Linked DNA regions of Medicago truncatula. Each later gene encodes a partner of the first gene's protein in a complex. Links are inferred from orthologs where the notes say so. Each region holds a gene or a part of one and is shown in the gene's direction. Other genes may lie near its edges.

Region 1 (7,657 bases):
ACGTTTATACCGAACGTGTTCTACCCTCCTTGTGTCTTCAGGGTTGACTCCTTGGTTGAATTCAATCAGTTCATCCTTGAGACCTCTTAACGTTACACCAAGGCATCGAACCTTCAACCTCTGAGGTTCTCCGTCGTTGAATTGTGCATGAACGTCGATCCACCTGGCCATTGCTTCAAATCTACACAATAAGAAATTAAAAATAATCAATGAAAAACTCATTCAAACACTTGTAGTGAAAATTTGACATAAACCCTAGCAATATAACTTCATTATAATAGGTATTCATAATATATGTTAATAGCATTTCAAATCTACAACATAACTATATTAAAAACAAAAATTCAAAATTTAATAATTAAACGACCACTAAAATTATAAACATGTAAACACATATACTAAAATGTATGACAATAGCATAAGTGATAACTTACTTGTGATTTAGTGGAAGAAATTTTGGATAATTTGGTAGAGTTTTTTAAAGAGTTAGTGAATATTTGAGAGAAAGATGGTGAAGGTGATGATGGAGTGAGTGAGTGTCTGGGTTATGGCTAATGACTTGAATATATCACGAACACAACGGCAGTTAACAACCACTGGAAGCCAGCATCAGTTAACTGCCGACGCATTGCCTAACGCCAGTTAACTGCCACTGGAGGTAAAAATGTCATTTACTTATGTCAATAGGAAGTATTCTATGTCAGAAAAGCAATTTTCCCATATTGAAACCAAAGAAAACCCGGTCCATTCTCAAAAGAGCAAAAGCTTATATGGGTTCTTCCAGAACCTAACTTTGAAACAAACCATTTTCAAAACAATAGTATAAAATTAAAGGTAATTAATGAATTTTATCCTAATCTTTAAACTTTTATAATTTCGTTATCATCATTAAGATTATTCTAACACTCAAAAAATCAATTTAGGGTTTGTGAATTTTTGCATCAATGTCACGAAGACGAAATTTAGTGGTTGCTGCTGGATTACTTGCTTTTGCTTCAGCAGGAATGGCTTTTCCTTTCTACATGGCGTAAGTTAAATTCGATTTCATTCGCAATTTTGATTTTATGTATATTGATGAATTTGAATTGATAATTTGCAATTTTTGGATTTTTAGTTCGTCGAAGAAACCGGTAATTGATCCAACAAAGCCACTTTCACCACAAGCAACATTTCGAGGACCTTATATTAATACTGGGTCACGTGATATTGGTCCTGATCATGAAACTTATAAGAAGAAGTGAATTAATTTGACCCTTATTGAGATCAAGTTCGTGTTTTCTTTAGTGGTTTTTGTAATTTTGAATTTTAAGTCATGCAACTAACTTAGAGTATAGGTGGTTCATCAATCTGTAATCTGTATGATTTATTTCGCAAACGGTGATTTTTTTAATAAAAAGAAGATGAATGTTGTTATTTAATTATGACATGTGTATATGTTAAATGGGTTTGGATCTCATTCTCAAAAGTTAGCTCAGACATGCGAGTGCGAGGGAAGTATGTAAGTTAAAAAAGGTTTTGTATGGGTTTAAACAAGCTCGTCTCTTTGTAACTCTTGTATTTATGATTTTGTATTATATTAGAACCCTAGTCCTTTGTTCTTACTTTCTGTGCTTCGCTGTAGATTCATTTGTTATAATATTGATGTTATCGGATTGTAAATGAATATTGTGTTGCATGTTCAAATGGTATTAAGCTCGTTGGTAGCATGAGCTTATGATGATGTGAAGGGTTCCTCTGCATTTGCATCTATGTTCGTATCATAGATGAATTTAACATTGTGAACAAGTTGACCCCTGAAGTGTTTACAAGGCATCGGATTAACCGAGATAAGTGTTGATGTTGATTGTTTTACAAATGGTTTTATTGTCTGGGGAGTGATTTTTAGAGATTATGCAGGGGATGTGTTTTCTGAAACCACCAAACTTGAAAAGATTGAAGCGTTTCTCACCCTTCCGTGCTTAGGTGGTGCCTACAATGGGTTAAGGAGGAAGACATGGCTAACTTGAGAATTGAATGTGAGTGATTCTGAATGGAGTTACTAAGTTAGCAGAGATAGATTTTGTTAATATTAGATGTATTGATCTGCTTATTCAATTAGAAAAGACTAGAGTTAGTAGTATTAGAATTTAGAAGGGAAAAATGCTGTGGCATGTGGCTCATGCTCTAGATTGGTCTATAGTTCTGTTGCTGACCTAGTTTATCAAGTTTATTGTAATGATCTTTCAATCTAATGAAACTGGATTTTCTGTAAAAGAAATGTGTAGTTTGAGTTCAGGTTTGTATATTTGATTCTATACAAGCAATTTGATAGGATTGTGTGACTGTGATTAAGATTATTAAGATTGTGTGACCTCTGACCATGAATTGGTGTGAATAGGTCCTTTGTTATGAGCTGGGCTCAGGAAAGTCCAGGGGTCCAGTCTGCAGAAACCCTTGGCCCTGAAGTGTCCACAAGGCAACTGGAGTCAAAATCGGAGACCCTTGGCCCTGAGATTTACCGACATACGTGTTGATGCAGGCTGTTTTACAAATGTTTCCATTGGTTGGGGAATTATTTCTAGCGATTTGGTAGCGGTTCTTTGGTCGCAACCAGCAAACTTGAGAAGATTGAAGTATCTCCCACCACCCTTCCATTGACATTAAGGCTTAGGAGGTGCGTACTGTGGGTTAAGGAGGAGAACATGGCTAACTTGAGAAGTGTTAAGGAGGAGAACATGGCTTACTTGAGAAGTGTATGTAATTCTGAATTGAGTTAACAAGATAGTTGAGATAGATTTTGTTGCATTGGACTGTATTGATCTGCTTAGTGAATTGGAAAATACTGGAGTAAGTAGCATTAGAACAGAAAAAGATGTTGTGGCTCATGCTCTAGTTGGTGTAGCAGGTAATGTAGGAAGTAGAGATTAGTCTAGCTCTGTTCATGACCAAGTTTATCTAGTTTATTGTAAAGATCTTTCAATATATTCTAATGAAATTATATTTACTGTGGAAAAATGTGTAGTTTGAGTTCAGGTTTGTCAAATTTGATTCTATACAATCAATTCGAGAGAATTGTGCGATGCCGATTACGATTCTCAAGATTGTGTGACCTTTGACCATGAATTGGGGTGAATAGGTCCTCTGTTATGAGCTGGACTTAGGAAAGTACCAGGTCCAATCTGCAGAAACGCAGACCCAAAAATGGGTAAATGCTTCAGTGTCGGAGGCTGAGATGCGTGCCACTGAAGAAAATATGCCGAATATGTACGGTCACTTACACGGTCGTTGCGGGTTGCGACTAACATAAGGAGGCTTACGCTTCATGGTTCAAATTTTTGGACTGGACTAACTGCAGTAACTGTGTGAAAGGCCAAAGGAGTTGATGATGAAGACAATGTCTAAACTATGAGCATAACTTTTTCTATTATCATATGACATCAGAGGAAATAAATACCATGTCATTTGAAATAAAACAGTTTCCCCAACCCAACATTAGTCATCTAGTTGTACTAGTAATTGCTTTGGGTTAAATGCAATTTTAATTATATATCTCTTGTATGAGACAAACATATAAATGTATGATTACAGGTGCTTCGCTTTAGAGATTAGTTGTGGAGATTGAAATATTGAGACTAGTTTTCTAAAATTTATTAGCTAGTTTTAGAGATGAGTTGTTTGAGACCTTCCTTGGTCAATTTTTTTTTGTTTTTGTAATGAGACTGGTGTTCTAGAACTTTTTAGCTCACCTTCCAAATATTTTGCTTTTCACGTTCCCATGCAAGATTAGATTATACTGTGACGTGATTACCAAAAGCACCATCATGTTTATAAGAACTCAATTCGATTATGAAACATGGAAAAGAAAAAGAACACACTTGATTTTGGAAATTTGTGCAATAAGCACATGTATAGGTAGGTATGAACCCTTCCTTGATCACCAAATACATGCAGCGGTGTTACAAAGTGGAATCAAACTTGAACATGACTGGTGCCTCACAAGTCACAACCACAACTGGCGGTGCCAACAGTTTCACATGAGTGCATGACACATTCAAGAACTTCGAACACAAGTATGAATATTATCAGTTGAATTAAGTTTTACGGACAGAAATACAAATATTAACATGTAGTAAGCCACGTTTATATGACACTACAAGGTTCCCATTGTTTTTCTCCAAAATGACTGTCTAGATGACTAGATTATACAAGTGTTAACGTGTTGGATTGTACAAGTAGATACTCGATACCTCCAAATCCCTGGTCCACAGGTACCAAAAATGTATGCATTACTTGTCAATACCTGCATCAACCTTTGAACACTCTTCAAACTTGTGTGGACGTTCCTCATTACGCCACGTTACTCTTTCATTTTATTTTCTTTAAAAACTATAATAAAATTGAAATTTGTCACCAAATTAGATTGAAACATTACAACAAAATTTGACAATATTTTCACTCATTGTTTCCAATAAATTTCCTATAACTCCACAGTTTAACATCAATTAATCAACATTAACAACTACTCTTACAGTGATTGATTCATTAGCAGAAAAATTAGACAGAAAAAAACTGGTCTGACAGTGACACTGTTGAACAAAACATTTGTCTGAAAACTAAAAAGACATAAATAAAATGAGAAACATTAGAAACTTGCACGTCTCAAACAATTCTTGTTCATATATATAAATTTCTTCCACACTTCACAAATTCAGAACTTCTAAACAAAAAAACACCATTGATGGCACTTTCACCCACACTTTCACCTTTAGCAACACTTTCATCATCAACACCAAGAAACAAACCACCAAAACCGTTTCTCTTTTCATCCTTCACAAAAAAGTCACAATTTTTAACAAATTCAACAAGACCCAGAAACAGAAACAGAAGAAACCTTTTAGTAACAGTTAGAAGTGTTGCAGCACCACCCACAAAAACTGAATCGTACCCAGAAGCTGAAAAGAACGAAATTGATGAAGAATTTGAAGATGAGAGTTCTTCATCGAAGTTTTCATGGAGAGATCATTGGTACCCAGTTTCTTTGATTGAAGATCTGGATTCTAGTTTGCCTACGCCGTTTCAGCTTCTGGGTCGTGAAATTGTGATTTGGTTTGATAAAGCTAATTCTCAATGGGTTGCTTTTGATGATAAATGTCCTCATCGTCTTGCTCCTTTGTCTGTAAGTTTAGTTATTTGTTGTTGAACATTGAATTTGAAGTTGTTAGAGGGAAATTGAATTAGGCCATGTTTGGATAAACTGCTTAATTAAGCATTTATAGCGTATAAGTGTTTATGTATAAGCTATTTGTATAAGAAAAGATAAAATAAAGTGAAACTGTTTTCTTTCAAGCGATTAGCTATTTTCATAAGCTATCCAGAAGGACTAATGAAAATAAGTTGAAAACATCTTATAAATATGTCACAAGCTATTTCCATTAGCTCTTACCAGTGTTTATGCCGGTAGATGAGCTCAAATAAGTCAATTTCAATAATAAAAGATGAAATCAAATTGTTTTCATATAAGCTATAAACTGTTTTCACAAGCTATCCTGAAGAACCAATGAAAATAAGTTGAAAACAACTTATAAACATGTTAGGGGCTATTTCCATAAGCTCTTACAAGTGTTTATGCAACTAGATGAGCTCAAATAAGTGATTTTTCATAAGCTCTTACAAGTGTTTATGCCAATAGATGAGCTCAAATAAGTCAATGTAAACTGACCATTATGATTTGGTTGGTTTTTGCAGGAAGGAAGGATAGATGAAAGTGGAAACTTGCAGTGTTCTTATCATGGGTGGTCTTTTGATGGACGTGGAGGTTGCACTGTGATCCCTCAGGCTTCACCTGAAGGTCCCGAAGCACGTGCTGTTGGGTCTCCTAGAGCTTGTGCTACTAGGTTTCCTACCTTGGTGTCTCAGGGGTTGCTCTTTGTTTGGCCTGATGAGAATGGTTGGGAGAAAGCAAATGCATCCAAACCTCCAATGTAATGATTTGTTTAATTATGTCTTTAGTCTAATTAATAATATTTGTTAATTTGTTTAACTTGTAGTAACTGATGCAATGAGTGTGACTCAGTTGGTCAATGAGTGCTTAAGCTACAACTTAAGCACCTGAGTGGATATTAATCCATAATGGGTTCAATGATCTAAATTGACGAGAATGTTTCGACCTAAATACCCTAATTACGTTGGTTTCTTAGAAAAATTGTTGTGATTGGGCCACTTAGAAATGTTATGTTATATTAAAATGTTTGTTGTGTACCTTTATTGATCTGCATGGTAAAATTGTGTTTTTCAGGTTGCCTGATGACTTTGTAAAACCAGAGTTTGCAACGGTGAACATTCAGCGCGATCTTTTCTACGGCTATGATACTCTCATGGAGAATGTTTCTGATCCTTCTCACATTGATTTTGCTCATCACAAGGTACTAATGATACATTTCAACTTGACTTTTAGGTGTGCAGGTTATTTTATATTCAAACAGAGTGCTTGTTGATAATATTTTTATTCAGATATTATTGTAAGTGGAATTTGTTGAATTAAATATACTAAGTGATGCCGATGTGGTCCGAAAATTGTGAAGGGAGGGCCTTTTGGTTTGTTCCATTTTTATATATTTTCTCTCACTGAAATTGCTGCTTGCTCAACATATTTTATATATCTTCACTTAAAATAACATTATATTGCGCTATTAAGAATTTAGTCAAGGACAGTGCTTTTTGAGGATAAGAAACTAGATGCTTGTAATTAATTAATTTTTTATTTCATTTCTTCCAATAATCACTTTCGATTGCACCTTTTTAGAAAAGAAAAAAAGGGCAGCCTTGTGCACTAAAGCTCCCGCATACGCAGGGTTCGGGAAGGGGTCCCACCATTTTGGTGTATTGTACGCAGCCTTACCTTCTTTTTTAGAAAAGACGATGTTTCCATGACTTGAACATGTAACATTTTCAGTCACATGACAACAACTTTACCGTTGTGCCAAGGCTCCCCCTCTCGCACCTTTTTAGTAAACCAAAAGTGAAGTTAATAAATACCCAAGCACTTGGGGAACCCTCTCTTAAAAGCTAGATATCAAGAAGGAAGAAACTCCACCGTGAAGCATCCCATGATGAGAGCCGATTTCCCGGCGGCTGCTTTCTACGATGCTTTACTCAGTCTTTCCGGTCAGCACCTCCATTTGGAGCCCTTTCTAAGACACTGTTTGAATGCTAGATATTAAGGGGAAAAAAACAAACAACTTAAATACACCATCGTGCATTCCAGACTAATCGATGTGGGAGAGGAAGTGCAAGCAAAAAAACGGTGAGGCAGCATAGGAGATGGATGTGTGCAAGTTTGTTGCACAATAGTATTGTGTCTTAATGATTTATGCTGCACAGTCAAATTCCCTTTTGGATTTGTTAAACTTATAGATTGATTGTCAATGTTTGTCAATCATTTTGCATATATGTGTTATTTAGACGCTATCAATATAAGCAGTTCCAAAAGTTGAAATGATTTAATATTGTTTTTTTAGGGTTATCGATATCACTAACATAAATATGATATATACGCCATAGGTTACAGGAAGGAGAGACAGAGCCAAGCCTCTTCCATTCAAGATGGATTCACGTGGTTCATGGGGCTTTTCAGGAGCTAATGAAGGGAACCCACGGATCAGTTCCAAATTTATTGCAC
Region 2 (7,148 bases), on another chromosome or scaffold:
CTGCTATTTGAAGCTTAAGGACGAACTTGATAAGCTTATCCAAAAGAAGGTTTGCATATTTTTGTTGTTGTAATTGTATTCCTTCTTTCTTCTTCAAAAAAAAAATTGTATTCCTTCTTTACTTGTCAATACAAAACAATGCTGAATGATAATGGATTTTATAATAATGCAGCTAGAAGATCCAGGCATTGACATTCACAAGGAAGGGAAGTATTTGATGCTTGCTGTTCAAGAATTGGTTTCAGGGGATCAGTGTGAAGGAAGATTTGTGTTTGGTCGTGACAGCCGGAAGCCTAAGGCCTCTAACGACGAGAATAAATTCACTAAAGATGGAACAAACCCCAAGAGCTTGCTGCAAACACTTTTGATGCGAGCAGGGCACTCCGCACCAAAATATAAAACAAAACATCTGAAGACAAATGAGTTCAGGGCATTGGTAGAGTTTAAAGGAATGCAATTTGTTGGCAAACCGAAAAGGAATAAGCAACTTGCAGAAAGGGATGCAGCTATAGAGGCATTAGCTTGGTTAACTCACACCTCTGACAATGCTCAGCCTGAAGACGATAAATCTCCTCCTGATGTCACTGACAACATGTTAAAACTCCTAGGGAAGCGTAGAAAATCATCGAAACGACGTTCTGATTGAATTATTATCAATTGATCGTTTTTTAGGTTAGTTTACCCATTCTGGTGTCCTACATGAGTTTCTCCTAGGCATTATTTAGTGGCTCCTGATTTCGTTATTCTCATTTTCTCCCTTTTTTGAATTTGAAAGGGCATCCAGTTTTGGCATTTGGTTTGCACTTGAAAGGTTGATTGAATGAATATCTTAGTCGTCTCCTTCAAGCCAAATCCAAAATATTTTGTAACCATTATGTACACTAATGTTTATATTTTTTATTTATATATGGTAGGTACAGTTTTGGCAGTTACTTATATAATTTGTACCGGGTCATCATCTTATAGATGCAATAAGTCGTCTCCCTTTTTTGTTTAATATTGCTAGATGAGATATGTAACATCTGTTTTGTACTGGGTAATATTGAGTCAAGAAAACAAAGACATAAAATGATGAAATAACCTCTAAAAAAATGATAAAAGAAATTGAAAAAAAAAATGTTGGTTCAATTTTTAGTGAACTCTCCAATTGTTTCGAATGCGACCAGACCTCACAATAGTTTTGTGCTATGCTGCTCTGATAAGTCAGCTAGCATGAACCAAGGTAACTTGTGCTTCGACATCAAAGAATGCTGTAACTCTACGGTCCGATGACATCAAAGCATGCAAAATTTTTTAGAGAAACTAAAAGTTGAAGGAAAATTTTAGAGGGATTAAAACGAAAAGTTAATATATTTATAGGGACCAAAAACATATTTAACCCTTAATCTTATTCTTTCAAATAATATAACCTATGTGGGCCATTTAATAATTATAAACAAACAAAAATTGTACATAAGCGTATCAATTGACAACTGCTTTCCCAATTCCATTTCGCATGGCATCGTTTAATTGATTTCTTGTCTTTACATTGCACATTGAATTGAAGTAGCAGAGGAGGGATTAAATTACATCAAAATAATATTACATCAAAATCGTTTTACTTGATTCATATTTGTCAATACATTTATGCACAATTTGGTAAAATAAAATACATAAGTTGATTTAAAAATATGGTGAGGAGGGGGGCCGGCTGAAGGAGGGGGTAGATTTGGTTCGCCTTGGTGGCGGATGCTTTGTAATATCCGCGGGGGGGGTTGGAGAGGGTGCAGGAAATTGGTTTGAAGGTAATGTCCGTCGGGTTGTGGGAGATGGTTCTACTACCTTATTTTGGTTTGATAAATGGGTTGGAGAAATGCCTTTGCGATTTAAATTTCCTCGACTTTTTGACTTGGCTGTAAATAAGGAGTGTATGGTGGCGGAGATGGAGAGGGAGGGGTGGGAGGTGGATGGTCGGGCGTGGTTGTGGAGACGTCGTCTGTTTGCTTGGGAGGAGGAGTGTGTGCGGGAGTGCTCCATATTATTACATAACGTTGTTTTGCAGGTTAATGTTACCGATAAATGGTGTTGGGCACTTGATACTACTCATGGTTACACTGTACGAGAGGCGTATCGATTTGTTGCTAATAATGGTCATCAGGTGGATAGGAGCTTCGTTGACAATGTGTGGCATAAGTCTATTCCGACAAAGGTTTCGTTGTTTGTTTGGAGTTTGCTTCGTAATCGACTTCCGACTCGTGACAATCTTTTACGACGAAATATTCTTCATCCGGCAGCGGTCTCTTGCACGGCTGGTTGTGACGTGACGGAAACAGCGCGCCACCTTGAGTTACATGATCATCACAAGCATTTCTGTTTCATGGCGGGACTTCCTAGATGCACTCATGTTTTTATGCAAGGAATTTGGTATTCTTGCGCTTGGGTTATTTGGCAGAATCGGAACAAATGCATTTTTCAAAACGAGCCTTTCGATTCTCACGGTTTACTAGACAATGTTAAGCGTTATTCATTTTTTTGGATGAAAGCAAATTTTAAATACTGTAGTTTTAACTGGTATGATTGGTGGACTCACCCGCTTCTTTGTATGGGGGTCCTTTATTGAATTATTGTGATTTGTGGTAGGGTGGTGCCTGTGTTTGGGCATTTTGTACTTGTAAATATTTTTCGAAATTCCACTTTTTGCACGCCTTGTGCGGGGTGTTATAGCCGGTGTTATTAATATATATCATTTTAGCTTGTGCTAAAAAAAAAAAAATATGGACCAAAAGTTGTGATTGTAAATTTCATAGAGACTCAAATGAAAAGTGTATATTTATAGTGACAAAAAAATAAATTTAACACTATATGTAATTAGAGTAAAGTAGGGGAATTCAAAATCACAAATCTATCGAAAAAGATCGAAAACAACACAAAACTGCCAAATTTGAATTTGTATCGAACCAAACCGAATCACATACATAAATATCAATACTTATTTTTCAATTACAATAATATATCGCTTTAATCTATTATTTGTTGTTTTCTTTGAGTAAAAACTTAGAAGTTAACTATTATTATTTTACTATTTCAAACATTAACTATTATTATCATTCATAATTGTTATTTTTTTAGTATAGTATAAGTTATTTTTTGCATCAAACCATTGATTTTATCATAAATTTAAAATATTATTTTCAATAGATGTTTTCACGAAATTGTAATTTGAATATTCAAAATCCAATCAAAATTATTCCGCATAAAATTGGGTTGGATCGGAGTTTTTAAGAAGTCATCCAAGCCGAACCGCATTACGACTATTTAAATTATTTGAATCGAACGAATTTTTGGTCCATAACTGATTCAAACCGCACTACAAACACCCCTAGATAATAATATTTGTATCATTTTTTTTTCTTTTTGATGGTTAAATTTAGGTTAGGTCCCTCCATGTTTCTTTGTATTTTCTGTATTATTTTATATTATTTAACCCTAGTTTAAATAAAGGTAAATTCTTATTTACAAATGAACAAAACTGAGTGGAGATGACACATATGAATTATTATCAATTGACTCCAATCAAAATAATTAATTTGTCTTTCACTATTATGTTATACATCCTTAAAAAAAATAAAAAATAAAACTATTATGTTATCCAGTAAAACATTGAAGACAAATAAATAATTTTCATTGGTGTCAACTTAGATGAATAATCATATCCTCCTTTATTAATATAATTGTCATCTTAAAAGGTATAATCGAAAAGAAAATCAAACTATCATTATACATAAACAAAGAAAATGTTAACAAATGTTTTTTGATAAAAAAGTTTAAACTAACTTTTTTTTATGATTTATACATTCAAAACATAAAAACTAACTTTTTGTAAAAAATAACTTTTAAAACGTCATAAATAATACTTATTATTCTTTTTTTTATCAAGTAGTCTAGTGGCTAAATGAATAAGTAGGATGTCCGGAGTTCGAACACCGACCCCTGCACATATTGTGCATTATCCCTTAACAAATGAGTTAGCTGATGGGGACTAAACAATACTTATTAATAATCAAAATTTGAATGATTTTATCCGCAAAAATAAAAAGAGTAAATAGAAGAAAATTGGAAGTGTTGAGGCTGTAGCAGTGAATTGGCATGGCATCATCAATGGCTTCCTTTCAATTGCTTTCTTCTCATCAGCTTTGCATCTCTCCCTTCTCTCGTCTGCCTAAATTCAACACGACATTTACTTCCTGCACCCCCAACAGCAACAATAATAACCGCTTCTCTCTTTCTCTCACTAAACCAACTTCTTCATCCTTTCTCATCATAACAGCTTCTTCTAACGACAATACCATGCTTCCTCCTTATAACGTTTTGATTACTGGCTCAACCAAAGGTCTTTTCTTTTTGGATAATTTAAATTTATTTGTATTTATTCTTTGATGGTTGAATGAAAGTGTTAGTATTCAGTGAGTGGTAAAATCTTGATATGTACATGGTTATATCCTATTCAGATGTAAAATAGTTGAGATAAGATTAGAAATGGCAATATTAGATTAAGAGTTCAGGTAACAATTTAAGTCTGTTTTGGATTGTTTTATTTTTTAGCTTATGCAAAACAATTTTTGCAAATAAATAAGCTTGTATGTATTATTCATAAGTTTGTCTAAGGTAGTTCATGAAAAAACAGCTTATGAAGATACAATTTTCGTTAGTGATAACTTATGAATCAATATAAAAGTTTATTTATTTGCATAAGCTATTTTGAATAAGCTCAAAATTAAGTCAATCCAAACAGAAACTTAGTGTATGTTTGGTTCTACTTCTAAAGAGGCCAAATTTGATTTTAAGTTGTAGAATTGATTCAGACATGATTGGATGCTATCGAGTAGAATTGATTTTGCCTTCAGAGTTGATTGTATTTGAAGCTAGAATTTGTAGTTTTTAATTTTAGAATTGATTTTTAAACACAAATTTATTGTTCAAATCACTTTTACATGAATGTATTCAAACACAAATCATTTTACCTTCAACTCACTTTTAGTCTGAATCAATTCTTGTCACCGTAGAACCAAACATACACTAGAGAGAAAACCTGTAGATCTTGTAGTAAGGAGAGTATATTAGATGAAGGGTAGTGAAATCACTAGATGCACGGGAAAACTTAGAAAAACTATAAGAGAAACGATTAAGAAGGATATAAAGATTAATGAGTTGGACTGAAATATAGTTTATAGTTTGATCCATGTAGCCGACCCAATTTAGTGGGATTAGGCTTCGTTGTTGTTGTAACTTGTAAGTTTTGCTTGCACTTTAGTTGCTCATTTTCAACAATTACCTTGAATCATATTTACCTTATGATTTAGGGATAGGGTATGCTTTGGCGAAAGAGTTTCTAAAAGCAGGAGATAACGTTTTAGTTTGCTCAAGATCAGGTGTGGATAACTTCTTGGATTTTCATTATGTTTCAACTATGCATTTGTTTATTTGTTCATGCTATATACTTCAATATCACTTCAAGTTATATGTATATCACTCTGCTATCGATTCATCAATGATTGATCTTTCTGTTAATCTTTCCCTTGGTTCCTTTGGATAAATTATCAATTTAGTTCCTAAACTATCCAAATATAATAAATAGTTCGTAAAGTATATAGAATCCGTCAATTTCGTCTTTGATCGTAAGATATTTGGTGCTAAATTCACAGTTTCCCGTTTCCATATACTTTAGGAAGTAAACTTACGAATTTTATATTCTATATGAACTACCTTTTTTTTCATAGTTTAGGGACTAAATTGAATGCTGGTTTTATTTTCTTTCTATTTAAGTTATGGGTTTTAGGAAAAAAAGGGAGAAGAATGAAAACAAATATGATTTCGGTGTAATACGATTGATAATGATTTGATACTAACTTGGTATAAAAATATAAGCACCAATCACTTTTGTGTTATTGTTTGTCTCAATTTACCTTGTGAATTATGACTGAGTGGTTGGGATTTCACAGTCTTGTTTATCTCATTTCCATGACTTTGTTTTTGTTTTCTCTATATACCTTGGTATTCATTTATAGATGAAAGGGTAGAGACTGCAGTCAAGAGCTTGAGAGAAGAATTTGGGGAGCAGCATGTGTGGGTACCTCCTCTTGAACTTCTATCTTAGTAGAAACCCATCTACGATAAATATATCACTCGTTTTTATGTTCTCATGTTCGCATTTTGTTTCTTGCAGGGCACTACATGTGATGTGAAAAATGGAGAGGATGTGAAGAAACTAGTTTCGTTTGCTAAAGAAAAACTGAAATACATTGATATATGGGTACTAATGTCTGATTTCTTTTTCCCATTGAAATTTTTATTTTGCAATATGAGTAGAAACTTTTTGCGAGGATTTAATTGGTTCTCATTGATAAACTCATGGTTTGATTGATCTACTATGTAAGCTGACGATCTTAGCGAAATTCTGGCCATCTTATTTTCGTAGTTAGATTCACAATCATCATCACTTACACTTAGCATCAGCGATTTTCCTTCCTTCTCCCCTTTCCCTTCAATTCTTACACTGTTTATAATTTGAAATTGTCTCGTAGCTATATCATTGTTGTCAATTATGGCCATGGTGGATCGTGGTGGAGGGTTTTTTGATAACAGCCATGGCCAATTTGTTACAGATTGCTGCACCATGGCGTTTTATGGTGAATATGGTCGCTTAGAGTGATGAATTTTTGGCTTTCCACCATTATCCACCATCCGCATTTGATAACACAAAGCTATACCAATATTTCATTTGTTTTAACTCCCTAATCTTATTGAATGTGTTTGTTAAAATATACTTTACTAATTCTTTTCTTTCTCGGCCTATGCTGAGAATGGTGTAGATCAATAATGCTGGATCAAATGCGTATAGCTACAAGCCACTTGCCGAAGCATCAGATGAGGATCTTATGTGAGTCACTAGACCTTGCACCCTAAATATCATTCTTACATTTTATTTCTTTGAAATTCTTAATTCTGTGCATGCAGTGAGGTGGTTACAACAAACACACTTGGCTTGATGATATGCTGTCGAGAGGTAAAATATATTCTCATGTAAGAGGCACTGTAAATAAAGTAGGTGCTCTGTTATGCATGGATGTTTAGTTTCTATTTAGGCAATAAAGATGATGGTGGGCCAACCT
Region 3 (7,258 bases), on another chromosome or scaffold:
TTGGGGGTGAAAAGTGAGTTTTTCCCGAGTTGCTCTCTGACAGCACGTCCTGTTTCATGTGTTTGCGTCTTTTTCACACGTTTCTGTTTTGAATTGGCCTTTGGTGTAAACATGAAAGTTGTAGATAATTGAGTTAGCTTTCCAGTGGCTTTGGTTTGATGTGAAAATGATTTTTGGCTCTTGAGATATGATGAAAATACTCCAAGGAGGTCTAAGTTAATCCAAAACTTAAGGAATAATTCCAAACCTCAAAACTAGAAGTACTATGAGTTCAACTAGGGTGTTTAAGAGTATTTAACCTATGTTGTGATAGATATAATTTGGTTTGACGTGAATATCTTTGTTGGATAATTTGAAATACATATATTATGTGAATGTTGTTGTTGAATAATTTGAGTTACATATATTTATGTGGAAAATGTATGATATAGAAAATAATGTTGTTATACCATTCAAGTTGTTATTATTAATGATGTTATGTTGTGAAGTTGTAGTATGTTGATGTTTCTGCTGTATTGATTATTAAATCATTAAGTTGCATATGTTGGTCAAGTTGTTAAAGTTGTAAGTTGTTGTCAATGTCGTTAAAGTTGTAAGTTGTTGTCAATGTCGTTAAAGTTGTAAGTTGTTGACGATGTCGTTGAAGTTGTTGGTTGTTGTTGCATTAGTTGTTGAGTCCATGCATACTCATTTACGTTGAAGGCTTGATGCTCTGTGAACTTTTGCTCTTTAAGTTGAGGGCTTGATGCCATGAGAGTGTATTTATGCTCAATACGTTGAGGGCTTGATGCCATGTGAGCTTTTGCTCTTTAAGTTTAGGGCTTGATGCCATGGGAGTGTATTTATGCTCAATATGTTGGGGGTTTGATGCCATGGTTGGTACCACATGCATGATTAAGAGGTTGTAGTTGCATTTTTTTGAGATGGTCTAAGATGAATAAGAAGTCTAAGTTGCATTGTTAAGTTGAAGTTGTGTCGTTGTTGTTAAGTTGCTATTTACCCATGTGTCGTTAACGAAGTGCTTATGATGATGATTATGATGTTGATTATGTTGTTATAAGATGAAGTTTATGATGTGTTGTTTATGTTGTTATAAGATGAAGTTTATGATGTGATGACTTATATTGTTATATGATGATGATTATGATTTGAATATTATGTTGATTGAACTTTGAAGGAAAATTAGTTAATTATTCCAATTATGTTTTAAGAAAAGAAGTGTGACATTCCGTTTATGATGAATACTCTGATTATTTAAATGGAAATTTTATGTTGGGAAAACGGGGTGTTATAACGATCCTATTATACTTATGTGTAAATAGTTTTATGAGATGTAAAAATCCTACATCATTCTTAAAAGCCAAACCAAACACCATTGAAAACTCAATTTTTCACTTTTGATAATTGTAGAATCACTTCTTGATGCTGAAAAGCCAAAACAAACAGGCTTAAGTGATAAATCGACTTCTGTTAAGAATAAATTGTTGAGCATCTTAACTAGACATATTTTAACACGTACTTTTACAATACACTTTACAATAAATTGTCTATACACTTTGATACGCACTTTACAATACACGTATTGTTGAGCATTTGAACTACATCTGAACTACAGATTATCAAAGCTTTCACCGTAAAAACTCTTGAATTTTTACTTGCTGTTTTGGAAAAAATGAGTACTAACATCACATTCTTTGACATACCTTTTTTTTTTAGGCAAAATAAAAATTATATTAAACAAAAAGAAAGATACAAAGATTGGGGGGCATGAGACCTGACCCAAGTACAATCTATACAGGAATACATCGTAATAAACCGTACCGAGAGGACCAGTCCTAATCTATTCTTACAAAAATTTACTAGTCACGGACGCAGCCCAACGAACCCGCGTACGGGCACGATACCGAGCTAAAAAAAAAAATGAAGAGTGAACTTTTGCAAAAACACAGTTAGGATTTAAAAAATATATTCTTTGACATACATTTTCAAACACTTTCATTTTTTATAATTACAATTTTAGTCCATCTATATTTACTATTTTGCAGAATTGTTCTCCATATTTAAAAAACTCATAATTTTGGCATATGATTTTGTTTAAAGAAGATAATTAGCTCACTCAAATTAACACCAGAGAGAATTTGTCGAAAAATAAATAAAAAATACCAGAGAGAATCGAAGTTGTGACCATGAGAAAGAACACACTCTAAGGTTACAAATCAATATCATCAGACTAACCCAAGTGGATTTGTCGTGATATATGATCTAGTGATGAAAATCAACATCAATTAAGTTTTAAAAAAATTCCTTAAAAATATCATTTTAAACATGTTATGTCACGATATATTAGACCAAATAATTGATGGGTGTATCAAAATTGTCAAATTTTAAAATAGGAGGATCAATTCTCCAAAATGGTGAAAATATGAGAATCCAATCCGCAATTAAGTCTAAAATTTACTACCTAGATCTTACTAAATTTTGTATGTCCCATATAAATTTGATTGGATGCGTTCAAAAATGTGTGTTGTAAGCTATGTTATTTTGAAAAACCTATTTATTGTCGTCTCAAAATATAAGCAAAAATGAATTAACATATGTTGATGTATTTGATACAAATTTTGGATCAAATACATTAATTATATAGGCGTAATTACCTTTTTGGTCCTCTAACTATTTAATTGGTATCAGATTGGTCCTCTAACTAAAAAATGATTTATTTCGGTCCTTTAAGTTTCTCACCGTTACTAAATTTAGTCCTTTTTGTTAGTTTTATTCAAATAAACGTTAGGGTTTATGCTATGTGGGCACTTGACCTCCTATTTCACACATACATATGAACCATAACAGTTACCAATAATATCAGTCACTATTTAATCATAATACCTTAACAAGGCATAGGACCAAAATGATACTAATAAATAAAGTTAGAGGACACACATAACAGAAACTCTAACGTTTATTTGAATAAAACTATCAAAAAGGACTAAATGTAGTAACGATGAGAAACTTAAAGGATCGAAATAAATTATTTTTTAGTTAGAGGATCAATCCGATACCAATTAAATAGTTAGAGGACTAAAAAGGTAATTAAGCCTAATTTTTATTGACCAATTTTTACTTATACTTTGGAATAGATGGAGTATGTCAAAATCACAATGATCGATAAATATATCAGAATTACAATGATCCATCATTATTTTCCAAAAACTACACTTTTTACCTTATGAAAAATCGTGGTGGATCATAGTGATTCTAACATCGGTAGCATTCTATCAATCATACACTTGAATTCCTACCATGTTGGACACGTGTGTACTATAAATCAAAACTAATGTGTGGCCAATATGAAATATTGGTGGTGGGTAGAACTTTGGCTCTGTCTAATTTTGTCCAAACTGCGTGCGTTGTGGGGATGATTCCTCTGTAGAAGACAAAACCAAACTTATCACATGTTTTCTCAGTTTGCAAGACAATTATATTTACCTAATAGAAGACTTAATATTCGAACATGGAAGCTAGTTTAATTTATTTTCTTTTTAAACTAATTTCTTAATCAACTAATTTAAAATATTAGGTTTCAGGATTTCTTCTTAACTAAATTAACAAAGTTCCTCATTTTAACTTAATTTCTTCATCCAACTCCATCAGCATAGTTATATATAATATATATTATATATAATCAGCTCCAAAAAAAACATGGTTAACTTTATATTAAAAAAAGTCGTAGTTAATTTAATCTCTTCATTTAACGAATACAAGGAATACTTAATCATCGCTCCACTATATAATTTTAGATTCAATATTTATATAAAAATAATAAAAAATTAAATTGGATATATCTTATACGCATAACTATAGAGATTAATCATTCGAATTAAATAAGTTGTAATAAATGAAAAATTTTATTAAATTTATGAACTTTGATTAAATTAAAAGAGAAATATTATCATCTCATCTAACTGTTTTTAGATAAATTTTTTCTTAAATTTAATTTAAAATTTAATAGACTTTTAAAATAAATTTTGTATAAGTCATCTAATATTATAGTAAGTCTTTTTTAGTTTAATAAACTATTTGACTTTTTTTATAATTATTATTAAAATGAAAAGAAAATAAATTATTATTTTTTAATAAATTGAAAATAAATTATATTTATCAGATGCATTTATTAAACAAAATTTTATAAATACCAAAAAAAAAGTGTGTAAGTGTGTATAAATTAAACTCATAAAAATATATTATTCGGTTTTTCTTGGCTCATAGAGGAAGTAGAATCTTCCAAGCAACTCTAAACTATTGTATATCTCTCTTTGGATCTGCTCTTAATCCTATAACAACTAATATATACCAGATTCTTTGAGTAGTTCTAGATTCTCATGCTTCTTCTTTCACTAAATTTAAGGTAATGTTTCCATAAACATGTTCATGTTTTTATTAATTATCACATGTTCATGTTTAATTGATGTTTGAAGAACTAATTTTTCTAGTTTCAATTATTTGTGTATGAAACACATATAATATTTGATTTGTTCTAAAAAAATTCATATTACTTTGTTCATGTTTTTGTGAAAATCAAGTTGAATTTTTAGCATACTGAATCATTTTCTGTTGTTGGTTTCTGTAGAACATAGTTGCTAAGAAATGGAAACTCTTTCATATGGTTCTGCACCATGTTGTCAAGTTATGAACACAAAGACAAAATCAGTTAAAAATAGTTCGAATTCAACTCAATCAAGGGTTTTTTATATTAGAAAAAATGGAGGTTTTTATATCAATAATCTTTACACAATTGGGTCATTGAGATTTTATGATAAGGGTAATCAACAAAGTGGGTTTAGGTCACAAAGTGTTTTTGAAGGCTCTAAAAGACTCAAATTTAAGGTTAATAGTGGAAGTTATGGTGATTATGTGATTAATGAAGGTGAAGGAAGAGATATTGTAGGGGTTGATGTACCTGCTTCAAAGGTTTTGATTCCTGGTTTACCGGATGAATCAAACGGTGAATCCGGTGCGGTTATACGTAGTTGTTTTAAGGGATGGAAACCTAAATTGAATGTTCATTATGAGAAAGCTGGTTGTGAAAATTTGGATTCTCCAAATGTTCTATTTTTGCCGGGTTTCGGTGTTGGTTCTTTTCATTATGAGAAGCAGTTGATGGATTTAGGTCGTGATTTTCGAGTTTGGGCGCTGGATTTTTTAGGACAAGGAATGTCTTTGCCTTTTGAAGATCCTGCTCCTTCGTCTAAGGAAGGAGGGGTTACATCGAGTGGAAATGTTTCGCCTTGGGGTTTTGGAGATGAAACTGAACCATGGGCGAATGAGCTTGTGTATTCGGTTGATTTATGGCAAGATCAAGTTCGGTACTTCATTGAAGAGGTAAATGACTTGCACTGTTTGGTAGCAGCAAATATTTAGTTATTTTAATCCATTGTTTGCTCAAATAGTATACTGGAAAATGTTCTTGGCAAATTTGCTTGTTCCTATGTGGTTTTAGATTTTTTTTCTAACAACTTATGCTGGATTATTGTCTAAAAAAGAAAATTCTGTTTGAATTGACTTATTTGAGATTATCTACTAGCATAAGCACTTGAGAGACTGTTTGGCAGAATTTATAAAAACAACTTATGACATATCTATAAACTGTTTTCAGCCTATTTCCCTAAGCTCTCTAGGATAGCTTATGAAACAGCTTATAGCTTATATGAATACAGTTTGAATCTATGCTATAAACGCTTAGTTAAGTTGTTTATCCAAACGAGGTTAGGTAAATCGATGTAGAAGTACTCTTGTATTCCATAAATAATGTTGTCTGTAATCATCAGCACTTTAATGCTTCCTATACTTATAATGCTTACTCAAATATGTAATGTTGCTGAACTTTTCTGCACTATCTTCAAAAATAATATTTGAGGAAGTTTTTATATCACTATAATCTAAATGTTATTATACAAATTCGTTTCAGGTCATCGGTGAACCGGTCTATATTGTAGGCAACTCACTAGGAGGATACGTTGCTTTATATTTTGCTGCATGCTATCCTCATTTAGTGAAAGGCGTGACATTGCTTAATGCAACACCTTTTTGGGGGTTTCTGCCAAATCCAGTAAAATCTCCTGGACTTGCCAAAGTATTTCCATGGGCCGGAACATTCCCTCTACCTTCAAATATAAAGAAACTTACAGAGTTGGTGTAAGTATGGCTTCATTTTTATTTATTGCTTCGTTTTTTTCTTAGTTCCTGATATGATTTAGTATTTTAGCTGCGAACTTCTGATTAGTACATTTCTTGTATGTCGCCAATATAGTCATTCATTTGCGAATATAATAGTTGATCATCTGAGTGATATTATACTGCTGATAGTACACCTCCAGGTGCCCTTTATCATATCTATTACATTTTACCTGATTCTTATTAATTTGTTTCCTTTAGGTGGGAGAAAATTAGTGATCCGAAAAGTATTGCCGATGTACTTAATCAGGTTTACGCAGATCATTCAATAAATGTGGATAACGTTTTTTCACGCATAATCGAAACCACAAGACATCCTGCTGCGGCAGCCTCATTTGCTTCAATTATGTTTGCCCCCCAAGGGGAATTATCCTTCAGCGAAACATTATCAAGGTAGACACGACTAAATCTTTAACTAGTATTAGATATACGTGATACACATGTTAATGGTTTTTGCGGTGTGTATGTTTTAGATGTCGAGCGAACAAGGTGCCGATTTGCCTCATGTATGGAAAAGAAGATCCTTGGGTGACACCTATATGGGGACTTCAGGTTAAAAGGAAGGTTCCTGAAGCACCATATTATCAAATCAGCCCTGCTGGTCACTGCCCTCATGATGAAGTCCCTGAGGTATGCAATTCCTGACCTATTAACTTGAACAATTCTTTCTGTTCTTGCTTCTTTTTAAGTGCAATATATGTTAAGAGCCGCACATTGGATACGAGTTAGGCCTGAAAATGAATTTGTAAGTTGGAGGCATCCCTCATCTTACAAGCTAATTCTGTAGGGTTATGTTAAGCGGTTAAGCTCAGCTGTAATTCTTAGATCATAAAAGAGTTTATGCAAGATCTGTTGGGCCACCTGCTATTGAGTCTATGAAGCACAGACACTCCTCGGATTAGGCGTGTTCCGATGCCGGACACGTGTTGTGTCTGACACCGACACATAATTACACTGAATTATGTGATTTTCTCAAATTATTAGCAATGTCAGTGTCCATGTCGTGACTAGTGTCCGTGCTTCATAGTTG
Region 4 (7,689 bases), on another chromosome or scaffold:
TTCAATATTTCAAATTATACTTTTTATTCTCCAAAAGTTTACGACTATATCTTTTAAATTTTACTAATAGATTTCGAACCCTATATGGGTTTAGATTGTATGTATGTAGACTACATCTTTAATGAAGTCTGGACGCTCAAAACCATTCCCAAATGAATGGATTTGGTAGCTGGGAAGTAAAAAAACGATCGCGATGTGACGGTAGAATTGATAAGGTATGTAGTACTCAAACTTAAAATGAACATTTTTAATCATATTTATCATGAACATGTTGAGATTGTGTTAATGAAAATTAATTATGAATGTATTTAAGAAAAACTAGTTATACATTTTAGCTAATCAGTTATTATAGTAAATAAGAATTTTATTTATTGATTGAGTTATACGTTAAGAACGTCCACAATAGAGTCTTACATACAATATAAACTTCTTTTTTTAGGGATCATAATTTTTTTTTAGTGATAGGATGTACATCAATTAGAAAATTTCCCTCATAGTGCCTAAAAAATCAATACCACGAAAAAAATTGAATCTTATAAACCAATAGTATGCGAGATTAACAAAAAAACCTCCCTAATATTTTCTCTCCGATCAAAACCAAAGAACCACCGAGAAAGACAAGTCAAATCCCAAGTATAACTAACTCCCATCCTTACCATATAATAATCCTATACCAAACTTTATAGGTCACCCTTTGAGTAATAAAAAAACGATACGCAGACTCGAAAGAAACCCCACAAAGAGCATAAACAAAGACCGTAACAACCTAGGAAACATCATCCTTAATGGAATATCCCCCCACATAAACTTTATCCCAAGAGGAATACGTTCGACTATCATACAAAATCTTTACCATTCATTAAGTGAACCAATTCGAGTAGCATCGACTCACTTCTTCAAAGCGATACTCATTTCCACCGTGGGAGGGAGCTGACAACATGCAACCCCCTCTCTCCATAAGTAGTCGAGATATGAATAACATCATTCGTAGCACAAATGATATCTCTCCATATGATTGCATCTCCATAGAGGAGTCTCCGACACCACTTCCCCATCATATCTTGGTGAACCAGCCTCTGATCTCAAATCCCAAGACCATCCCCCTTTCGACTTAGGCCGACACACATCCTCGAAGCAAACCCAAGATATCCCAGTGCCCCCTGTTCTACCCTCCCTAAACGAAGCATCTCTCTAGCCAAACTTTCCTCTTCCATTCCTTGACATGGATCTTAATTAACGAGAGGTAGAAGATTTCAATTGAATGAAGCATAAAGTTAATTAAGACCACCCTCCCACCCAAATTAACAAACCTATCACTCCATGAACGTACACTCTTAGCAATAAGCTTAACATCAGGTTCAAATGTCCATTCTTTACTAGGATATGCCCCGACAGGCACACTTAAATACTTGAAAAGAATATACCTCACTCTACAATGGAGGAAGCTAAGATAAATTTAATGTTGATTTCGTATTTGAAGACAATAAAAAATATATTGAAAAAAGAATAACAACTTTAGTAAAAAAAATAATAAAGAATAACAATCATATCTAAAAAATTGTAAATGATCTTTATATGCGGGGATAAATTAGCATACCCCATAGTCTTTAATATGATAATTTTTATAAAAAGAAACTAATATTAATGAACTTATTTAATGTTATAAAATCGATAATTTTCTAAAAAAATATCCTTAACATCTTTGTTACTGCTAACTTGTGTCGGTTTTGGATTTTCGATTGGTTTATGACTTGATTTTAAGTTGTCCTTGTTTTGGGGAAGTTTTCAAGCTAAGCCTTTTTTCGATCTGGTTCTGTTTAGGTTACCACTCTATTTGAAGATTGTTCGAAGGATTATTTCCTAGGTTTTGGTGGGTCGATTGTTCTTGCTTCAGGATTGAGAGTTAGTGTCTATGTCCAATTATTTAGGTTGATTATAGAGTCTTCTCCGGTAGGATGGGAGTTGTGGGGGTGCCTTAGTGATTTGTCTATAGTATATGGTGGGTCAATCGCTTTTGATTCAAGATTCATAATCAATTTTTTGACTCAATTTTTTTGCCTTGTTATGGTGTGTTCTCTGACGGACCGGAGGTCGAATGTAGGTAGAACCTGAAGGATTGTTGGAGTAAGCCTTTTCTTTGGTGTTTAATCGAGCTCAATTGTGGAGATGAGAAGATGATGTTCTGTTTTCGAGGGTTTTGATTGGTTGGATGGCTTGTTTGAAGCGTTATGGTGAGTAGTGGACAATATATGCTTGAATTTTGTTTATGTTGTCATTCGCGAGGAAGTGTGGGGTCTTGATTTGACTTAAGTGTTGACTTTGATTTTTGGTGGTTATTTTTCTTATTGGTGTTGGTGGTAGCACTGAGTTTGGTGTTATGGTTTTTTTTTTTTTTCCTCGATGTTCCATCTATATAAGACTTCTTGTTTTGTAGTTTTAGTTCATGTTTTTCTTCTGCAGAGACTTGATTGTTAAACGTTGTTGTTTCAAAAAGAAAAATATTCACTTTGTTGAAAATAGTTTCATTTTCTTAAAATAAAAGCAAATCCTTAAAGAATATTATTGTTACAGTTTTACTTTTAACCATGTTCATGTACAATTTTAATCTTGAATTTATATATTATTTATTAGCAAAATTATATAATTTTTTTTATATATTTTTATATCAGTCATTAAGATAAATAGAACATAATTTTTCTTCAATTTTTTTTTTTTTTTTTTCATTTTACACACTACTTCCGTTGAAAATAATTGTTGCAGTTTGACCATGTACACTACTTACGTAACTTACTTTGATCATATTTATTATTAATATATAAAGAATAATGTTAATAAATAAAATATTGTTTTATTCTCATAGTAAAGATTTTTAAAATATAAATTTTAATGATTTTTGCTAATAAATTATTTAAGATATTAATGGTCAAAATTATGCATTGACATATATAAAAATTAAAATTGTAACAATTATTTCAAGATAAAGGGAGCACCATTGTTCTTTGTATATTAGTAAATAAAAATGATCAAAGTAAATAACTCGTTAACAAGACCCATATTTTAAATGATCAAAATCTAATACTTAGTTTGAGATGGAGTAGTAGTTAGTTTTATATTCCTTTCGTCTCTTATTATAAGTCTCTTTGACTAATTTCACATATTAAGAAAAGTAGGTAGTGTAGATAATATATCAAATTTGTGTGTGAATTTTACTAAATTGTCCTTTGTTTATGTGTATTTAATTTTCCTTTTTATATTCCAATGCAATTTAGTTGTATTAATTAGGGATATATTTAGGAAAAAATAATAAATGCATCTAATAATTTGTATAAGCCTTATATTTAGACAAGACTTTTTTCAAAGAGAGCTTATAATTACGGATTGTTGGAGTAATTAAAGACAAAGGAAATTAGTACACATGATCAAACTCTAACACTTTGTGCGGAAAAGAAATTTTTTGTATGGTATATTTTTTCTTTTTGTTAACCTTCGATTTTCTAGTAAAAGTTGTCTAGTAATTTGAAGTGCGTTCGAGAGTAATTTAAGTTTGGTCGATTATTATTTCATCTAGGAATCAAACTTATGTTCTTTGGAACAAATTGTCTTTTTGTAGAGTCGATTAACCACTTTTTTTAAGCAAGTTCATTAACCACTTGAGTTTAATTGTTTGATTAAAATTTTCGTATGGTATTAAAAATTAAAATTAAAACTATTGATTTATTTTTCAGTTGATCAAATTATATTTTCGTTCTCTTAACTTAATTTGCACATATATTTTCAAATTGTAAATATATAACCTTCTTCGTAGGGGAATTACTCATCAGGATGACACCTCTTGCATTGGGGGGGGCGGTTGTTCTGAGACTGCGGCTCATCTCATTCTTCATTGTGACGTCTTCGGTTCAGTGTGGCACTATGTTTATCGGTGGGTAGGCATTTCTTTTATTGCTCCAGCTACAGTTGGTGACCACTTTCAGCACTTTGGACAGTTGGCAGGTTTGTCGAGGTCTGCTAATTCTTTTCTAACAGTAATCTGGCATGCTTGTGTTTGGGTTATATGGAAGGAAAGAAATAACAAGATTTTTCAGCAAAAGTCATTGACTTCGGATCGTTTATCAGAAAGGGTCAAGATTATGTCTTTTAATTGGCTTAAGGCAAATATGCCCAGCTTCGCCTTCAGTTATAATGACTGGGGACAACATCCTTATTATGCATGGGGTGTGCTGGTGTAGCTTTTTGTCTATTTATTACGCTGTACCTTTTGAGTTAAGACTGTACCAAACTTTGTTTTGTTGGGTGTTCTCTTTTGCACATTTTGTGCAAGATGAATCACCTTTGATAAGTTAATATATTTCATTTTGGCTTATTCAAAACAAAAATTCATATATAACGGAAATGAAAAACCATAGATTTAAAGATTGAGAGAACATAAAAAAATGAAACCATAAATTTTAAACATGAAATCCATATGAAAATAAATCAAAAAGGAAATAATAAAATAAAATAAATAAATAATTAAATTATTATCTAAAATTTTGTTAAAAGACCAAAATGTTATTGTGCCTTTTTTGAATTTTATTACATTAGAAATCCTCTTCTTCTTAACTTTGTTGTGTGGAACAGAAAAAGCCACATCATCATCAGTGTTCACTCACTCACTCAGCTGAACTGAGTTTACTGCTAAGCAATGTCTTCTCTCTCTTCGCTACCTCTTTCTCTCTCTATTCGTGCTTCTTCTTCATCACAAGGTAAAGTACTACCTACCAGCTCTTCTTTTTCTCTGCATGCTATGAAGCACTCTTACGGACACATGAGACTTACACACGGACACCGATAATAATTTGATAAAATCACATAATTCAATGTAATTATATGTGTAAGCGTGTCCGTATCAGGGACATGCCTAATTTGACGAACGTCCGTGCTTCATAGTGTGCATGCAACCTTCCTTCACTTCTCTTTTCTCATATCAGTCTTACCCTTCTTGTTTTGGTAGCAGAATCCTCCATTTCAAAACAGGACTGGAGGAAAAGGTCAAAACCTATCCCACCAGGTGGAACCTACCCAGCTAAAGATCAATGCAGTCGTTGTGGATTGTGTGATACATATTATATTGCTCATGTTAAGAATGCTTGTGCTTTCTTGGGAGATGGAATGTCTAAAATTGAAGTAAGTCTCTTTAATTTATGAATGATGCTTATCTATGTCATGTAAATTTTACTCTTCAAATTGGTTAAAAAAATTTGTTTTTTGTTTTTGAAACTTTTATGTGATATGAAAGGACTTTTTAATATTGTTTGTAATTGTTAGCATTATGTCAGATGTAGGGATCAAGTTGATTTTGTAAGGCTGAGTTAGTCTTAATATAAAAAAAATAATATGGTAGCAGAGCTATTCATTTGGGTCATCCGATATCGACTTGGGTTGGTCTGATGGTGTTAACGTGAGACCTTGGAGTATGCTCCTCGTTAAGGTCCCAGTTTCGATTATCTTCGGTGCCAATTTGGGTGGGCTAGTTTAGTTACTTCAAAAAAAAAAAAAAGTTATCCAAGCATTAGGTCCAATAGTACTGGGCATGAAGAGGCCAGTGTTGTAATGATGAGTTAGGCCAAGTGTAAAACATAGTAGGACTTGAAACTGAAAGAGAAAAGGAGAGGAACCCTTTTCTTCTCCGACTTGAGTTTTATGTTCGCTTATTTCACAAAGTTACTAACAAAGTGATGATTTTTGGGAACAAAGCTGTGTTGCTTAGCCACATTAATATCAAATCAATTAGTTTGCACCTAGTGGAAATAATCAATAAGCAGCCATTCTAGTGTAGAAGAATCTGGCATTTGAACTAGATTTACTTTTTCAACAAAAATGGTTCACTTCTATTGAATGATTACTTGTCAGGACTATGTTAATGTTAGTACACTTTGTTGCACAAAGCTGATAAGGAATTATATCAAATTGAAATTTCAATATGCAGCAGTTATTTCTTTGTGACTTCAGCATTAAATTAAACTTCATTTATTGTATGCCTAATTCAAGCATTGCCTTAATATTCTTATAAGCATTAATCATGAGAATTTTCATAACTGATATAAATATATCCAGAAAATGACAAAGTTTATACAAACCAAAATTGATTGGACTCTTTATCATTCCTTTTCTGTTTCAGAAATTGGAACCTGTTGTTCATGGTAGAGGGAGAAAAACTGATACCTTAGACGAGACATACTTAGGTGTCTTTGAGGAACTTCTGTATGCTCGGAAACTTAACCCTGTCGAAGGTATATTCTGACTTTAAAATTGTTTAACTCTTATGCTTCCTCGTTCTAATGAGTATGACACTATCAAATTCGAGAATCTTTGAGTGCAGTGTATTTATTGCGCTCAAGTTTTAGAGTTCAAACTATAATTTTGTTATGCTGATAAATAAGCATTTAAAATTATTCTGTTCTGCTTTTTTAGTGGGACCTCTTGGCTATTCTTTACCTTTTAAGAAGCATTTTTTCAATGGTTTCTCTGATATGTGACATTGGTAGGTAATCCCTTTGTGGGTATTTAGATAATTGAATAGTTAGGCTGACTATAAATACTAAATAGGGAGGACAGATCAGCTTGTCATTTGAAAGAATACGGGCCTTTTGACATTGAAAGGTGGGAAAACCCTCAAAGCTCTGCCACTATTCTATAAACCAGGAAATTGTTCCCCATTTTTTGTTGCAAGACCAGTTTGTTCCTAGCATACTTTGATGGCCTCCTAAATTTATTTAGGATCATAGAAATTAAGATCACACCGAAATGTTTCATTGATATAACTATTTCTGTTTCCTTTAGTATTTAGTTTGGAGTAAGGCTTCAATGTCAATGTCTAACGCCTAGTTTGGATAAACAACATAATTAAGCGCTTATAATATAAGTTATGTATAAGCTTTTTCTATAACAAAACGATAAAATAAAGTCAAGCTGATTTCATATAAGCTATAAGTTGTTTTCATATGCTATCATGGAGAGGTTATAGAAACAACTTATAGCTTATGGATACTTCATAAACTGTTTCTATAAGTTCTTAGCAGTTTCGCAAGTTTGTATTCTAGTAGTTAAGCTTAAATTAATCAATGCAAAGAGGCCCTCATTGAGCTTTTGGACAGACCAGAAGCTTAACTGTAATTTAAGATTGGAAAACATTATATAGCACGACACATGGTTGTTGTCAAATGCACACGACGTGTATTCTGCCAACAGCTATTTCAGTTTTTTAAAATTATTTTAATCAAAATTTAATTTAAACCAAGATGATGATGCCATGTAAACAGTCGTACCTGTCGTGTGTGGATTTTGTCGTGCACAATAGCACAGCTCTTTAAGAATTACTTGTCTTGTACAATGAAATTGTGTTTCGAAATGTCCTGCAGTTGCAACTAATTTCTTGATTAAATTATTTATACAATTATGTCTATGATGGGCATAGTCATGTTATCAAAGTTCTGATGAACAGTTTTACTTGTAAAATTCGTTCTGTTCATAGGAGCTCAATGGACTGGTATAGTAACAACCATTGCAATTGAAATGCTTAAATCAGGCATGGTTGAAGCTGTTATCTGTGTACAAAGGTATCATAAAAAATCTACATGTTTTTATTGGAGTCATATTTCTAGTGTCTTTTCGTTCTTTAATCTGACTTTATTTTCTGTGTAATTAACT

The links.
Region 2: pheophorbide a oxygenase, chloroplastic (region 1) and chlorophyll(ide) b reductase NOL, chloroplastic share a complex: the UniProt entries of both Arabidopsis thaliana proteins name them as parts of the SGR1-CCE-LHCII complex. The link is inferred for Medicago truncatula from reciprocal best matches to the Arabidopsis thaliana genes ACD1 and NOL.
Region 3: pheophorbide a oxygenase, chloroplastic (region 1) and pheophytinase, chloroplastic share a complex: the UniProt entries of both Arabidopsis thaliana proteins name them as parts of the SGR1-CCE-LHCII complex. The link is inferred for Medicago truncatula from reciprocal best matches to the Arabidopsis thaliana genes ACD1 and PPH.
Region 4: pheophorbide a oxygenase, chloroplastic (region 1) and 7-hydroxymethyl chlorophyll a reductase, chloroplastic share a complex: the UniProt entries of both Arabidopsis thaliana proteins name them as parts of the SGR1-CCE-LHCII complex. The link is inferred for Medicago truncatula from reciprocal best matches to the Arabidopsis thaliana genes ACD1 and HCAR.

The regions. Positions count from the first base shown.
Region 1 is NC_053045.1:28,997,289-29,004,945, forward strand, and holds the start of pheophorbide a oxygenase, chloroplastic, read left to right. Parts: upstream 1-4,634; 5' UTR 4,635-4,717; coding exon 4,718-5,155; intron 5,156-5,724; coding exon 5,725-5,960; intron 5,961-6,274; coding exon 6,275-6,401; intron 6,402-7,539; coding exon 7,540-7,657. Other genes in the region: uncharacterized protein, read left to right, coding at 945-1,027, 1,115-1,241. UniProt on the Arabidopsis thaliana protein: Catalyzes the key reaction of chlorophyll catabolism, porphyrin macrocycle cleavage of pheophorbide a (pheide a) to a primary fluorescent catabolite (pFCC). Works in a two-step reaction with red chlorophyll catabolite reductase (RCCR).
Region 2 is NC_053049.1:16,823,059-16,830,206, reverse strand, and holds the start of chlorophyll(ide) b reductase NOL, chloroplastic, read left to right. Parts: upstream 1-4,125; coding exon 4,126-4,369; intron 4,370-5,339; coding exon 5,340-5,408; intron 5,409-6,044; coding exon 6,045-6,106; intron 6,107-6,202; coding exon 6,203-6,289; intron 6,290-6,848; coding exon 6,849-6,916; intron 6,917-6,993; coding exon 6,994-7,042; intron 7,043-7,121; coding exon 7,122-7,148. Other genes in the region: DExH-box ATP-dependent RNA helicase DExH3, read left to right, coding at 1-49, 173-646. UniProt on the Arabidopsis thaliana protein: Required for chlorophyll b degradation. Chlorophyll b, chlorophyllide b, pheophorbide b and pheophytin b can be used as substrates. Belongs to the chlorophyll catabolic enzymes (CCEs).
Region 3 is NC_053044.1:11,853,794-11,861,051, reverse strand, and holds the start of pheophytinase, chloroplastic, read left to right. Parts: upstream 1-4,240; 5' UTR 4,241-4,402; intron 4,403-4,624; 5' UTR 4,625-4,641; coding exon 4,642-5,376; intron 5,377-5,962; coding exon 5,963-6,189; intron 6,190-6,429; coding exon 6,430-6,621; intron 6,622-6,701; coding exon 6,702-6,858; intron 6,859-7,258. UniProt on the Arabidopsis thaliana protein: Alpha/beta hydrolase dephytylating specifically the Mg-free chlorophyll pigment (pheophytin), yielding pheophorbide. No activity on chlorophyll. Belongs to the chlorophyll catabolic enzymes (CCEs).
Region 4 is NC_053042.1:17,899,653-17,907,341, reverse strand, and holds the start of 7-hydroxymethyl chlorophyll a reductase, chloroplastic, read left to right. Parts: upstream 1-4,684; coding exon 4,685-4,745; intron 4,746-4,996; coding exon 4,997-5,166; intron 5,167-6,160; coding exon 6,161-6,272; intron 6,273-7,513; coding exon 7,514-7,598; intron 7,599-7,689. UniProt on the Arabidopsis thaliana protein: Probable iron-sulfur flavoprotein that converts 7-hydroxymethyl chlorophyll a to chlorophyll a using ferredoxin as a reducing equivalent. Catalyzes the reduction of a hydroxymethyl group to a methyl group. Belongs to the chlorophyll catabolic enzymes (CCEs).